Drosophila melanogaster: one gene and its partner. The protein of the gene in region 1 interacts with the protein of each later gene in a pairwise test. Each region holds a gene or a part of one and is shown on either strand. Other genes may lie near its edges.

Region 1 (2,835 bases):
TTTGTGGAGAGCCAGAGCCTAACGAACTGGGAAATGGTCTCTGAACATTCAATTATATCATCAATTAGTTGGTCGTGCAACATGTTGCAAGAGTGATTTGGACAGCAGATTAGGCAACAGCATGAGACCACTTGGCATAAACAAGGGTAGGGATTTAGAGGGTTTTTTCATATGTACATCTCTACTAATTTAGATTGATCGCGAGCTGTTATTTTAAATATTTAATGTGAAATATGTGCGTAAAAAAATGTCGATAAAACTCGTAACGAGTTTTATGTTATGATTCTGTGAAATATAAAAAACAGAGCTTTAACTGTTATAACATATAATGAGTTGGGTATTGTAAATATTAAATATTAAACGTATGGCTTTCTTATATTTCTTAATCAACTATTTATTTATTCCGAGTACATTTTATTTTTAATTTGTAATTTAACTTCAGTGACAGGATTTCTTTACAACATTTTTTCACCAGATTCCTACACTTATTTACAAAAACTTAATTTATCCCGTAGTTTATTACGCCCGAAGATACAAGCGAACAAACTAGAGCGAGCTGAAAAATGTTGCCTACTTAGCAGCGCAACGAGTTTTCAATAGAAAGCCCATAAAGTGAAAGACGTCGCAAAAGTCAAAGCCTTGCCACAAGCCAAATGCCAAATGGCATTATCAATAGAGGATTCAGCGAATCCCGGAAGATATAGAAAGCCAAGTGTGTGAATTTAACTTGGTGCAGTCATGAACATGCATTCGCAGCTACAGCTCCATATATACATCTTAGTATGTGTGTAGTGCCATGCCATTTATTCCATTGAACAAAAAGTCATTTGTAAGTGTTTTTATGCGTAACGGAATTTATGAGGAGCAGTTCCTCAGCAGATTTATTGCTTTATTACGATGTGGCAGAGCGATGGGTATCAAGATGGGAATCCAGTTTGGCGACAAAGGCCAGAGAAAAATAAAGAAATGGCTGGCAAATATTTAGCACATGGAGGCGAAAAACTCACTGAAAGAATGATGGCAAAGAGCCATGGGAAAAGGGGAGGGTTAAGGGGAAAATGGCGAGAGAATGAATGCTGCATTTCCTCCCTTTTCGGCTTTTGTCTCTCTTTTTCTGCGTACGGATTTTCCTCGAATGGTGGCGGGCTGTGGGTGGAACGGGTGGACGGAATGGGGTGGACCTTGAGGGCGTTTCACATCGTCGACATCGTCATCAGCATCATTCTCATTGCAGTCGTTAAGTTATAGACTTTGATTTCGTTCGCCTCGTTCAGCTGTGGGGAAACTTTTATCCTCACTGCCACCCAAAGTGCGTCCTTTTTGGCAGAGTCGTTTCAGAGATTTATTTGCCTTGTGCCCTGGCAACTTTCGACTCTCGACATCCATATCCGTATCGTTTGCTCTCCTCGCTCTTAAATTGCTTTAATTGATTTCTGATTTTATGACCCTGCTGAACACATTTCACACATGATTACATGCCAAGTGGGTTGCGATTTCTTAAGAGGTTTTAAATCCGTCTATTCTTAATTTTGAAGATAATTAAAACGTTGGTTTTAAATAAAAAATATAGTTTGATGTGTCGCTTAATTAAAAATGTTTCAACGTTGTGACCATCTACTCATATTTATGGAGTTTGGATTAATACTATTGTTTATTGTATAGAGTTACTATATCAAACATGCTGCTCTCGATTTTGTTGTCAGTATAAATTCTGTCTTTGATCTGTTTGCACTTAAGTCTGTTCTAGTTCACAGCTCCTGAATAACTATTGAAATTTCTGAAATATATTTTTTTTGTCAAAATGTCGGACGACGGATCTGATATATTCCAAGACCTTGAAAGCTACGAGCCCTATACAGAAGGTAGCCAAAACAATAGTGACGAAGCAACTGCAGTGGGGCCTCTCGATACCTCTGAGGACGCTCGCTTCTCCGAGCAGGTATTCTCGAACATTCAGGAGCGTCTGAACCGAATCATTAATCGCATTAGCATGGCCAACTCTGCCGTGGTCCAGATGAAGAGGAAGCTCCATGCTCGAATTCCATCCGTACCTGTTGGCGAAAACGCCGACCAGTTGGCTGGAGGCGATAATCCAATGCGATTTGAAAACGTCGAACAAGAAAACGAAACCACCAACCAATGATATAAGAACATTTTTATATTTCTCATTTTCAAAAATGTATAAATTTATTGTATTTATTTATTGTTATTGTTATTGAAGCCCATTTAACAAATCACAAACAGACCCGAGTTAATTGTTAAAAAATTATGCATTAACACAAGCCAAGGATTCGAAAACTAAGCGCATATAATAAACTGAGCAATGAGCAAAAGCAATACATTGTATACTGCCCTTATCGCCATAATCTAAACTATTTTCAACGATATTTGCAATTTATTAGTGGCCCTCCACACACAATTGCCAAACTTGCTTTCATTCGGTCCACAAACTTTGTGGACTTCTTTTCGGCGCATAATAAACTTTTCATTGACCGCCCTTCAAAAATGTTACCCCAAGCAATTTCGAGCAGCTGCATATTGTCAGGGGGCCTTTTGTTTTGTCGAAAACTTTGCAAAGTCGGAAAATTTGAGACTGAAATTTGCATTTGCCTTTCGCCACATTCACATAGAAAGACGAATTGCCTTGGAGCCAAACAAATATGTTAAAAGCAATAAATAAGAAAGGACATTCTTCAAGTTCGTCGTCTGCCGCTCGAGATATTGGCAAAACGTATTATATGCGATAAATTTCGACAGAAAGCTGAAGTCCGATACTTATCAGTGGAAATGAAGCCAAACATAATTTGCCATAAAATGCCGTTGCAGCGGCATTAA
Region 2 (13,715 bases), on another chromosome or scaffold:
TTCTGAATTAAAAACTGCAATTGCACGAATTTAAGAGCAAATTAATGTCTTTGACCATTAACCCTACCAGGTTCTGCATGGAAATCCATTAGGTTTTCGCCAACCAGGTTAAAGGTGCCTAATTCGTTCTGTATCTGATTATAATTGAAGCTCATAGTTTGCAGATACTTTTAGTAAGAACAACAAAACATTGCTAATATTACAAAATACATCCATACATTGTCTGAAATTTATACGATTCACTGACTTCTCAACTATCATGTAACTAATACGCTTTCGACAGCCAAGTTTATATGAAATTTTGTTTATCTCATCTATTTGGACCAAACTCACCACGGCCACTTCTCCCGCGATACTTTTCGGCGCCGAGCACCAGCAGAGTTTGGCGATCAGTCGGCCGAGTAGTGCTACCAAAATGAGTAGTGGCGTTATGGCCGCCAAACCGATCAGTGCGATTATGGCCTGCAGTTTTACCAGAGTGTTTCGTACTACTTCTGACATTTTTCTTATTTTTTAACCACCAACTTTTGAGTCACAACCGTGCCGAGAGAATGGCGAAAACGCATTGAATCGCAAGTCGCGAATCTCGAGCCGTCGAAAGCGGATCGATCGGCAAAACTGGCTTGCCGTCGAGATTGCAATTCGAGTGTATCCACAATTGACCCGGTTCGCGGTGTTCGGCAATTAGCCGCGACTTTCAGCGGAACCCCACCAAATGAATGCGAGCGTGTGGCAAGCGTCCATTTACACACCTCACCTATTAACCAGCGCGACCTCAACTCCCTGGCCATGTTTTTGGAGCTCTGGAGTTGGGGGTTATTGTCAGCAAATAAACAGAAAAGTCACCTCCTGCACAGATGAGACAGTCGCGGCATCGCACCAGCAGCCCATTAGTAATAAATAAATGCCACTTTTTTTTTTTTGACTACAACTACAAGTGTGTAGCAGCTCCACATATCCAAACAAATATACTCGTGTATACTTACTCAATAAATGTGGAAACAAAAAAAAAGCGGAGAGATGCCAACGAAAAAATGATTTTCTGACAATAAAGTGGATATATCCATAAACGAAGCGGAGCAGCAGAACATATAGAAACGTATGGGAAGGGGGGAGAGTACCAACGATATAGACAGCCAAAGGATAATTTTATATTGCGGGTGGGAGGGGGAAATGCAGTGGAAGGGGAGAGGGGGCGAGTGCCGGCTGTGGTTTTAGTTAAAAATAACAAAGAGCGAGCGACAAAAACGAGATTCGTGAAAAACGTATATTTCATATTCAGTTTTTCTTTTCGCAGGGTGCTTCAGCTGCTCCATAAAGCTTGCCGTTAATTTTCAGGGTAATGAGAGTATTACCGATGGAGTAATGTGCAAAAACGATTTACTATATATATATATACCGCTGAGATTGAGCGATAAAATAATTCAGGTATATATTATAGTTGTGACGAACTAAAATGGGATTCATCGGAACATGAAAAAATATATATATACTTGTATTTACATACATCATACAAATTATTGTGTAGCTAGTATTTGTTAAACAAATATATAGTTATCTAGTACGACTGTCACAGTATCTCTGAACTTTTTAGACACATTTTTTTCTAATTTAAAGGGTATCCATTAGTCGCTGTTGCATGAAATTAGATTAGTTATACCCACACACACATCCCTTTCTTCTCCCACTCCCGCTGGCAATGGCATTTTAATAGAGTTTTAGCCGGGCCAAGGTGCTGCAGCAATCGGGCAGGTTAACCCCACCCCTCTCCAGCAACCCCTTTATTTTTCTGCCACCACCCCCTTTCCCCTTGAACCAGCACTTGCGACACTTTTGGTTTTGTATCAATTTATTGCACTCGGCGCACTCGAGGGCATGTGTCGATCGCTGGCGGAATCGCTTTGGTTCACTGCAAATGAAAACGACCCCAAAAACCAATACATACATACATACATATGCAGCCTGGAATGCCTCCTTAGCTTCGTTTCCATGCGCATTTTGGCGCAATTACGAATCCTACTTCTTGGCTGTGGACCTGCATCGCCCTTCTTATTTTATTTTATTTCTTTTTTTTTTTACTCCGCTGCACGTGATGCAATTTTGTATTTATTTAAGCGCAGCACTCGCCTTCGGATGTTGCCAAAATCGGGTCACACTTTGTGCACGTGGTGCCGCCGCGCTTTGCATGCGACTTTTTTGCGGCTATTGGACTCCGATGATTTATGGGCGAGGCGTCTGCGTATTTGGTGGAGCAGCAGCAGCGGGAGGAGCACATGGCACTGGCTGCCTACTCCTTTCCATTTGCCCAATCTTCCCAATCTGCGGTGGCAAGCTATAAAGATAGCGATACTCGAGTGTTCCACTGCGAGCCCCTTAATTGTCAAAACTCCGTGCCACTCAACGCTGTCCCGCCAACAACACTTCAGCTCCAGCTCAAAGGGTACTCAAAGAACACCGGAGGTGGAGCGAAGGATCGGGAGGTGCTGCTCAACTCGGTGATCCAAAAAAAACTAGCCAAGCATTATATTGAAAATATTGGAGTTCAATATGTTAAAAAATTGCATCGGTACTATATATATATGTTATTTTTAAAGTCTATGCTTAAGCAATCTTTAAATCGTATTTTATATTACATCTTAAATAAGCTACATAATTTATAATATTTTGTTAATAAATAAAAAATTCTCAATTAATTCAGTTCATTACCTTGAAAAATAGCTAAATTCGAGAGGAAATCATCTCAATTGACTGCTCGGTGGTGGAGCGAGAGCCGCACAAAAAATGTAGCAAAGTGCTTAAGGTAAAGGATTAGTGGTGGTTAAACCTGTGCACCGAAGTTTCCCACGGCAAAGGATGAACCGCTGGCAGGATGGAAACGGAATGAGATGGCCGGAATGAGAGAATGAGAGGCCGCAGCTGGCGGAGGAAAGTGAAAAGTGTCGAGAGGAGTTTGAGTGCTCAAACGCGCTAATCTCGATGGCATGGCTCTCCGTTTTTTCCATTAGTTTTGTAATATTTCACATTAGCATGTCGGCCACTCAGAGCTTAGGACTCTTGTAAGGAACCAAAGAAATATTAAAAACCAAAAAAAAAAAGAAACACAAAAAAGGTGGAAAGGCAGAAGGGCGAGGCAATTTCTCAGCGCGGCTGTCAACACCAATCTGAAGTGCTACCGCGAGAGCAGAAACAGCAGCAAGTGCAGGACATAATGAGACACGGATAACAGGCCATTTCGATTATTATCCTTGGAACATGTGTTCCAGTTTAGTACAGCAACGCAACAAGTGCACCGCGGGCCGTAAAGTAAATAAATTAGCCGGTCGTGTAATGCACAAGAATCCGTAGGATCGAAAACATTCTGCAACATGACACTCGGCCAGGATTCGAGGAGCTACCGCATCAGGATGCTGCTTCGGATGTGTTTGTTTAGGTGCAAGGATAACGCATTCTCACGCCTGCCGGGAGCAGCCAAGCAACATGGATGCCTTCTAACCCAAATCCACTTGAACCCACACTGACAGTCGAATGTCATAATTCAGCGGCGGGAAAAATGCGCGGCAGGTTGCCAGGATAATCAAGTTGCAGCTCCCGCTGCCGCTGTTTGTTTAGCTGAGGTTTTCATTTTCCCCATTTTTATTTTCCATTCATTTTTTTTTTTTTATAGCTCCCGAAGATTTTATTGCCGCCCGGGATGGGATAATCCCTATTGACATATTTATGCACGGTTCAAGCAACGAAATGGAAATTTTTGGCGTCGCATGGCTCGCTGGCATTTGCCTTTCGCCTTTCACGGGGGCGTGGCAACGAGCTAATGGGCACCACATGTAAGTGTCTCTAGGTGAATGAATTAATGTCCCGCCTCCAGAAATGCTCGGAGTTTCACACAGAAAAAATGGATGTTATGAAACTAAAAGGGTATCTAGAAGCACAAAACTCACTTTCTATGTGGGATTGTTGTAGTTAGTACTTCGAGTACTTTGAATTTTCTTCCGTGCAGCAGCATTTCCCCTAGTCTAAGTTCGAGTTCAAGGTGCAGCACATGGCTGTCGAGCTGTGTGGGAATTATCTAAGGAAAATACGTTACGGCGGGCGGCCAAAACACCTGTGTCAATGCCGGCAGATCGGGCGTTGCGCTGCTTAATTCTTGTAATTAATTTTGCGTGCCACAGACAGAGACAGAAGCAGACTCGCACACAGAGATAAACACACAGACGGCGGAATGGTGGAATAGGGACAATGGAGGATGTCCTGATGCACGGCATTAACTGAGCATGCAAACGATGCGTCAACGATGGTACTCGGCCCAGGCAGCTAACGCTATTATTTACACAACAAACACTTGTAATTACACAAAGGGCGGCGGCGGTGGCAGGAGGGTCCTGCAGGAGCAGGACGGAGCCGCAATTAAAAGCGAAAGGATAAACACAAATAAATGAGCGACACAAAAGGGGCAGACACGGCAAAGACAACTCGGCTGTAGCTGACTTGGCCCACTGCCACTGCCAGTACTGGCTTCCACTACTGTTCGGGCCAAGACAAAGGCAACACTCTGGGCCCAAAGACAACAATGACAAGCGGACGGCATTAAATAATTGCTCATACACGAGTGTTACGCACAAAAGCATTTAGAATGGCACTGGCCGAGGCACAGGAAGTGAAACAGGACGAGCCGAGCAAAAAACTGTCCAGCACGTGTTGCAGCTCGTCTCGGAAAACCCAACCATGTAATCCCAGCCAAGCCCATTCCAAACCATCCCAATCCGATGCGATTCCAAGCGCCTGCCGCCACCTTTTCGGCTTCGGTGTGTGAAAACTAGTTAACAGCTTTTATTTACTTGGCAAACAGACTGAAACGTTGTAAAACAACAAATGCTTAAGCCGCAGGATATAAGCATAACAGCACTCACCAGCACACACGTCCTTCCACTGCGGAAAAAAAAGAAGGGATTATTATGATGAATTGCATGCACGTCAAGATTTGTGCTTAAGAAAATATTGAGCTAAGATGCAATCTTGAGGATTTACACTTTGAAATGGGTATTCCTAATTATGTTATGTTATATATATCATGTAGACAGATGGTTAGACCAAGTAAGGCACCATTCCAGTTTGTTCCAGTTTGTTTTCTTCAATAATTTTTTGAATCTTCCCTAATAGTTTCTTGCCGTGTATGCCACTCGGGGCACGAACACGACCAGCTTGGTCAAAAAGTCCACGTTGTCCGCTGTGGTCAGCGGCATGGAGAATGGAGACGACGCTGATGGAGGCGAGCGTGCAACTGACTGCGGCGCTCGGACATCTCATAACCAAAGTGAAAAGTTGGAAAACAATAACGGGCAGCGATGCGGGGCACACATGTCCTGCCTGAGCAATCGCCTCCAAAGCAGTGTCCTTCGGCCAGGATGGCCACAACCAGTGCCGGCAGCCAGGGAAGAGGCTACACAGCGTGACAAAGTTTATGGACCACAATGGAGCTGCAGCTCACTTAGTATTCTCCGCTCGGATATAAGCTCGGTAAGGACATTCAACGTGGCACAACGACCAGGACTACTACCACACACATAAATTATATGCCTTTATTTGGGCAAAACAGTGTAAAACGCAAATGCAACCTGATGACAACAACAGGCTGCGTTATGCAGCAACAACAGAACCAGAAGAAGCCGGACCCAAAGACGTGGCAACAATGAGACTTTTCGGCAAACAAACGAGGCAAACTAAGAGCGCTTTTCAACTAATGACGACGAGCAGTAACAAAAACGTTTTCAAACTGGGCGGCGGCAACAAGTTGAGCCGTTTAGATTTAGAGCTTGTAAAGTGTGTGCGGAAAATTCAATAACCAAGTGATAACAACCTCAAGAACAGATCCAAGTTAACCCGCTGGAAGACCAGGAAAATCCACACAACCACTCGAGCTGAAGGATATCGGCAGGGTAAATGCACAAATGCATATGCATACATAGATGTATGTGTATGCGTATGTAGGCAGGCCGGAGAGATGACAACAAAAGCCAGCTTAATGGCAATAATAACAGATTTTAGCCAACCACAAAGAAAACGTCAACAGAGGCATACTTTTTGGCCACCATGCTGGCAGCAGCAGCAGCAGCAGTTCGGTTAATGGCAGGAAGTTCACTTCACAGCCAGGACGACACATCCTTGCAGCAGTCACTTTGAATGAAAATTCATTAAGTGAAAATGCCTAAGCCAGCAGATGAAACAGAAAGGAGCAGCAGTCCATCCTCTTAATAGCCGAAAAAAAAGACCGCATCGTTGGACAAGCAACCACATCCATCAGCCGGCCGATTGGCTCAATTTGCATGCAATTAAAAATAAATTGAGGCACCTTGTTCTGCGGCTAAACTAAATAGTGGCACCGCATTCGGTGGAGCCCACTTCCAATTTTCAGTACCAAACTGGTGCGGGGGTGGGGGGGAACGCGACCACCGCAGTATGGGGCCAAAAAAATTGATTTCAACTTCGGTTGCCGCCGCGTATTTATAGGCTGAATTGTCATTTTCTCCTCTTTTCTGGTTGCTGCATTTTTTTTATTATTTACTTCAACCCAATCCTGAATGCTAACAAAGAGTTCTCGAAAGGAGAGCGTAAAACAAACAAATCACGGACCGATATGCACACATAAAAATTCATAAATATTCTATTTTGAGTTGACATTTTGACAAGTGAATATGAATATTGCAGTCGCAGCGCACAAATTTATAATTGATATGTATAAATAATGGACAAAGCCATTTTGTAAATGGGTTTAATGAAATGAACGAGTGTAGCTCTTGTAATAGCTCGCCAATTACAAACAAAGCAAAACAAACAATAGTCGAAAAAGAAGAGTGGACTTTCTGGTGCCCTGGGCGCAAATATTTTTCAAAACATTTAATTTATTGTATTTGAAAAGTTGTAACGATTTTTCAAAAATATCCTCCTAAAATGGCAAGCAATTTACTTTCATTTTTTTAAGCAATAGACTTTAATAAACGTTTGATGAAAAAAAAAAATCATCAAGTTCACCCATTTAATATACCCCTTAAATCTCAATTTACAGGTGCCATCGCTTAAATAAAATATACTTAATATTTCACATTTGGCGTTAAAAGCAAAAGTACCCAAAAGCCAGTTAGCTGCAATTACAATTAAATTAAATTGGTTTATGGTAAGCAACTTTAATTATGTTCGATAGCAAAACAAACCAAGTCAAATTTGCTTTACACTTCGGATCGCATGGCACAAAATAACACCGAAAATCATGATTTAGGGTGAAAAAAATTTAAATTTAAATCGAAAGTTGTTTTCCCAGCCCTTAAAGCCCAGATGGACAGCGCCGATGAGCAGCTGCAGCTGGATCTGGACAGGATATCGATGGAGAGTCGCCAGGCCAGCAGTTTCGATGACCTCATCGAGCTGACCAACAACTCGGAGCGTCTGATGGCCAGAGTCAATTCCAGCTTGGATGACCTAAACACCGCCCTCGACAACCTGGAGGCTCGAACGGACCGGGTTCTGGTCGAGATTCGGAGGCTAATCAGCTCGGAAATGCCGGCACAAGGTCCGCACGATGGATGTGGCGATCCAGATGCCAGGGCGTAGGCGGGCGAATGGCTGTGATACGTAATGTGATAATAAATAAATGTATTTTATTTTCATATCGAAATCAATTGATGCTCAACTGCTCATAGGAATTGAAAAGTGATTGGTCGTAGCTCTTCTTCGGTTTCGAATCGAATGGGGATCGAAAACTTCGCGGGGGCATTGAGGCCATAGAGGCAGAAGATCCATAAAACGCCCGACAGTTTGTTTGTTTTTTATGAGAACTGTAACCCTAGCACACAAATAATTAGTGAGCTATTTTTATGGATCTTCGGATGCGGGGCTGCGCATGCGCAATGCGCATTGAGCAGAAGTATCAAGGTGCTGGGGGTCTTCATCCACAATCTTAATTAGAATTTACATACATTTTCAATATGCGTGTGTGTGTGTGTGTGTGTGTGTTTTGTATTTGTGCACATGTTGCACTGCATTTGAAGATCTCGTCGTGCACTTAATCACTTGAGCCGTCGGCACCATATGGGGTCCTTTCTTTTACTTCTTGTTGTCTGTGCCCCGCGGCATCTGGTGCATGGTATATGTAGTAGACTGAGCGGTATAACCTGTTAATCAGATATGCAGATTGACCCAAAAATTATGCCACAAAGCAGCTGCTGGGCGACAGCGTTTAATTGACAATTAATAAAACTTTTAATTTGAGCCCAATTGGCACATTGCACATTATGGTAATGGTAATGGTAGTGGGGTAGCATGGTAGTTGGTCAATTGGATAATGCCCACAGATCCCAGCCATTTGCACTGGTAATTCTTCATTAATCGGCTACGCAATCATTTACGTAAAGCGCAGAGCCACCAAACCTAATTGCAAGTTATGAATATCTCATCGGATATTAAATCGATGGCCATCGCTTAACTCCGACCAGCAACGACCACGATGACGATGGAAATAATAATGAGGATGACTGCGATGAATGGATTGAATGGCCTGAATGGTATCGTTCGACGACCATCCATCCGTCCGTTTATCCGTCCATTTGTCCGCTTGTCCGTCCGTTTGTCCGCTTGTCCGTACGGAAGTGGCGACACTTAATTGCGAATTGAGTGCATTTTCAATTTTTATTGAACCGGCGCCCAGTCGAGCATTATGCTGCGGTGTGGTATCATTAAATACTCGGTTGCTTTGCTGCTGCTGCGAAGTATGCTACGAAAATGCAAATTACCGAGACCGCCCAGAGTGGGCGTGGCAGTTACTGCCATGTGCTCATTAGCGGTATCTACCAGACGATAACCAGCGTAGTAATCGATGGAATAACTTGTCTTCTTTATCAGTTGGAGCACATGCAAAAATATACTCAACCCATCATCGATGAAGTCAGTCTACAGAAGTCATCCCGCTATTTCGGTCGTTAAAAAAATAAATGAAATGGGAGCTGTAACCTTCTTAACAATTATTTTGGTGACCTTGCTGGGTCATCGATCCAGTGCCCTGGAGTTCGAAGAGTGTGCCAGTGCTCCACAATTGGGAGTTTATGTCGCCAGCTCTAGCAATTGCTCCAAATACATATATTGTGCCGGTCCAGGATCCTTTGAGGCCGAGTGCTTGGATGGTCATTACTACGACGAAAAATTGGAACGCTGTTTGGATCGAAAGTTGGTGTCGAGATGCCGGGATCCCGTAGGCATAACCACTAAATCCCCCTCGATGGTCAAGAAGCCAGCTCAGAAAGCGGAACCATTGGCGATTACCCTGCGACTTTTACCCAATGCCGGACCATGTTATCCTTATATGGTCTGCTACGAGGGGGCTGGACTGGCCAAGGCCTGTACTCCTGCTCATCTAGTGTCCTGCAATCGCATGCAAACGCGAGAGAATATCATCAACTGCCAGGAGGGAGTCTATGGCTTTATGCCACATCCACGGAACTGCGCCTACTTCTACTACTGCTCCAGTGGCTCCAAGCTGGTCCATCGATGCCACTTGAACTACACTTGGCACTACGAACGGAGGTCCTGCGTCCAGCAGTCCGAGAGGATGTGCTACTCCGAACAACTTCGGCTTATACGAAATAAAATAGGAAAGGCCAACCGGACGTAATTCTAATGTTAGGATATAGATTTAATTTAAGTTAAAGATTCGTATAAATAGCTAAACATGTACACCTAGCGTAAGCAACAGTTGAATAAAGAACTGCAATTGGGAAACAAACAGGAGTAAATGCTTCTGGGTGGGGATGTGCCTTCTCCTGTGCCCTACTTCCAGTAAAACAGGTGGGAGCTGCGCACATCGAAGTGGTAGAAGCGAAGCAGCATGTAATCCTGCCACTTGGTGGGCAACAGTCTAAAGCAAGGCGACAACAATAATCGTTAGAAATAATCGCTGGTTACCTGGGCTAATTCAATTCTCACCTGAGCAGCCATACACTGAGTGCGAATATTTTTGGCACATACACCATGCGCTCGTTCAGCAACACGCCCTTGACAATCTTCTCGGCCACATATGGTGTGGGCAGTCCGGGATAGCTCTTGGCAATGCTAAATGTAGTAGCCGCATGAGACCAAGTGATCTGCCCAAACTATAAACCAATCTTACCCCGCATCACTGAGCAGTGGAAGATCTCCGCTGGTCCTCATCAGATAGGCATTGGCCACCGTGGTGCGAACGTAGTCACAGTCGGACAATCGCAGCTCAGCTCGCAGCGATTCCATGAAGCCCTCGATTCCGTATTTGGTGGCCGTGTAGATGCCCGCTCCTGGCAGTGGAACTAGACCTAAATGCGAGTTATATATACATAGGTATCAATGAAGTGGTAAGCACTTTAACCAAGTAAGCTTACCCGCTAAGGCATTTACTGCCACCAGATGACCGGACTTGCGGTTTATCATCTTCGGCAGGAACTCCTTGGTGGTCTGCAAAATCAAGAAGTTTTATATTTGTCCCATTTTCAGAAGCACACACTCACCATTATGTAGGAGCCCAGATTGAGCTGCAGTATTGTGTCGATTTCATCGCTCTTCAGACTGGGTGTTGAAGTCATGGGCATGAGGGAGGCATTGTTGACCAGAATGTCCACGGGACCCAGTTCCTTCTCCACCTTGGCGGCCATCAGTTGAAGCTCGCGAGGCGATGACACGTCGTTCTGGAATAAAGATTCTTGTTATCAAACCATTAAATATCCAAGCAGCTAGTGAACTCACCTTGTAGGCCTTGGCAACGCAGCGTGGAATCTTGGAGAGCAGCTCCACCGTTTCGTAACATCCCTTGGAGTTGACATCAACGACGGCCAGCTTGCAGCCCCGCCGCGCCAGTTCCAAGCAGATCTCGCGACCCAGCCCACTGCCTCCGCCGGTCACCTGGGTTTAAATCACAGGTTACTCACATTACACTCGTATACTCAAGTAAATTAATTAGCTTAATTTGCAAACAATCAACTCGAGCTAATGTGACTTCGCATTGAACAAAAACCTCATTTACGGACAATTATGTGAGCAGCAGCAACAGCGGCAGAGGCGACTTATGAATGGCATTACTCATACGCTCGGTGGGCCGACCCTCTGGGGCACAATTGAGTGACTTTTGACCGTAATTGAAGCCCACTGGGTGACCTCAGCCGCCGTTTTGGGTGTGCGGTAGTTGGGTGAATCGAAATGTAAGCCGGAATGAGTTCAATTCAGAGTTTGGCACGTTAGCGACTAGCAATGGGGAAAACAATAACAAATGCGCAGTTGTTGTGATTATAGAACAGCCGAAGAATTTCAATATCATATGCAAATTAACAGCGGCAACAGTAGTTGAGTTTTATCTACGCATCTGAGAGATACCCGGCATGCTACACACTTGCAGATACTTTGGCCCATCGAAATTCTACACTCTATTGTTTGTAAACACAAACATTAGACTGAAAACAAAAGTGAACTTTCTGAGGTTTGCATTTTTGCGCTCTTTTCGTTCATCTTGGAAATAAATATAGCGACACACGCAAAACCAGTTTGCAGTTGGCCGTTGGCCAGTGGTGTCGAAAAAGGGGGTATTTTTGAGCTGAAATAACTCGAATTCCGCAACCATGATGTCAATAGAACTTATCAACGAAAGTCAATCTTATAATTAAGTTGCTGCTAACAGTTGGCATGGGAATTCTCCAGTCCCTGCCACCCGAAAATACCACTGTGCAACCGCAACAAAAATGTATCTGTATGTGTATCTGTATCTGAGAAAACGATATCTGAGGGAACGATCGAAAAAAAAAGCTGAGACTAAAACAAAAGTCGGGCCGCTGTGAATCATTAATACGCTACGTGAGACGCTTATGGCCGGCACACGCCCACTATAAAAAGCCTGAAAAGCATGCTAATGGGTTCCGAATTCGATCAGGTTCTTTACGATATGGAGCATCGGCAGCGGCATCATCACTTGACCTTGTCCAGTGGCATTGGCGCCCATTGGCAATTGACTTCTCCATAATTCGACGCCCCAAGATGCATATGTGATTATTGGAGCGCGATATGGTTGCCATGAGCACGATTTCAGCTGGAGATTCACTTTGATTGCAGCGCTTACAGCGAAATTATGTCACATTAACTGTCCGTGGCACCAAAGACGCGGCTCTGTGGACACAACTAAACAATTGGCCAACAACTAACCAAGCTGGGCACCAAACGCATAAATATTTACATTAATAACACAGTACTAAGCGATCGACCGCACCCTAATGGCAGTGACATCAAAAAAAAAAAAAAGAGGAGAAATAAAAAGCAAAGAAAAGCGGGAAAGGGGAAAAGGTGGGTGAGCCAAAGGTGGGCGTGGTGGAAACCCGGAGGCAGCCACTGGAAAAGGAAAGTGCGTGACGTTTCTGGTTGGCTAAGTAGTCGTCAGATACAAGATCACTTAGAAGCGGATACTGGGAAAACAAATTCACATGAAGCCAACGATTAAAGTATACCATTACCAATTTCTTTACGAAGTATCTGAACCTAATTTGGTACCCAAAGATGTATCTAAACACAGACATATATCTCTTTTTTAATGTCAGTACTTAACATGAAATGCGACTGCATTTTCTAAGTGCATCCATGTCTGATGTGCATCTGACTAGCCTTATTAATGGCTCATTTGCCAGACGCTCATTGCAGCCATTTGTTAGCCCCAATGGGCACTCGAATGCAACTCACCAGTGCCACCTTGCCACTGACATCCTTCTCCTTGAGTCCCAGCGCGAATAGGTAATCCAACAGGTGCTTGAGAAAGACGGCCAGCAGGACCAGAGGCAGGAGGAGCAGAAAGACGATGACTTTCAGATTGAAGATGGCCCGGGTGGTCTCATCGTTGCGATGCGCCTGCGCGGCCGCCTGTGTCGCGGTGGGCGTGGCCGAGGCAGTGGGTCCTGTTACCGTTACTGCACCAGCCGGAACGGCGGTGGTGGTGCGGGTTATGGTCGTTGTCGTTGCCGTCTCCACCATCACTCACAGCTTGTTGCACCCACAATTGGCTAATATGTGATATGAGATATATGTATCTGTATCTCAAATATCTCTGTTTTTAGCCCAGAAATTTTCGCGGTCAAAGCAAATATGGCACTCGCGGCGACTCCAAAACAGCTGCAGCGCGTCGAAGATCAGGCAGCAGACTAAAAACGCCAACAAGCGACTGCGAATGCCAAACTACGTGTACAAGCTTTCGACTCTATAGCAGTATTTCCCCCCATTGAGTGAAGATCGCCAGCCGCTCGACGCTATCTGGTTTTCGTATCTACGAGCTGCAGATTTGAGTGGGCAGCGGTAGCACCTTTGAGTGGAAGCGCCGAGTCGCGAGTGAAGCTACTGCGTTTCACCTGACGTCTTAGCCCGGCTTTCTGTGGTTGTTTCCTTTTTTTGTTGTTTTTTATGTGTTTGGGCCATATTGTTTTCCCCACGCGCACAGTGGGAACTGCGGATGAAGATCGTAGCCGATAAGAGCCCAGCCGTGTTTGCTTTCCCTTTATCTGGTCCGTAAAGATGGGGTATCTGCCAGTTTAAAATGATAAACAACTGCTTGAATATAGTATGAGTCTTAATATCTTCCCGAAATAATTATGTAAATTATGAGTCACTGCCTCCCAGTGTGCGCCACTTTCGAATTGTCAACCTTTTGGCACCCGCCAATCAAAGAAACGTATTTAATT

Evidence for each region.
Region 2: the proteins of gdrd (region 1) and CG13838 interact in a two-hybrid assay, tested with the Drosophila melanogaster proteins (2 studies listed by BioGRID).

The regions. Positions count from the first base shown.
Region 1 is NT_037436.4:14,689,628-14,692,462, forward strand, and holds gdrd (goddard), read left to right. Parts: upstream 1-1,719; 5' UTR 1,720-1,801; coding exon 1,802-2,143; 3' UTR 2,144-2,335; downstream 2,336-2,835.
Region 2 is NT_033777.3:23,035,007-23,048,721, forward strand, and holds CG13838 (uncharacterized protein), read left to right. Parts: upstream 1-7,234; 5' UTR 7,235-7,326; coding exon 7,327-7,602; 3' UTR 7,603-7,663; downstream 7,664-13,715. Other genes in the region: CG13833 (uncharacterized protein), read right to left, coding at 334-501; CG13837 (uncharacterized protein), read left to right, coding at 8,984-9,655; CG17121 (uncharacterized protein), read right to left, coding at 9,811-9,898, 9,967-10,092, 10,151-10,328, 10,395-10,467, 10,521-10,697, 10,756-10,911, 12,727-13,014.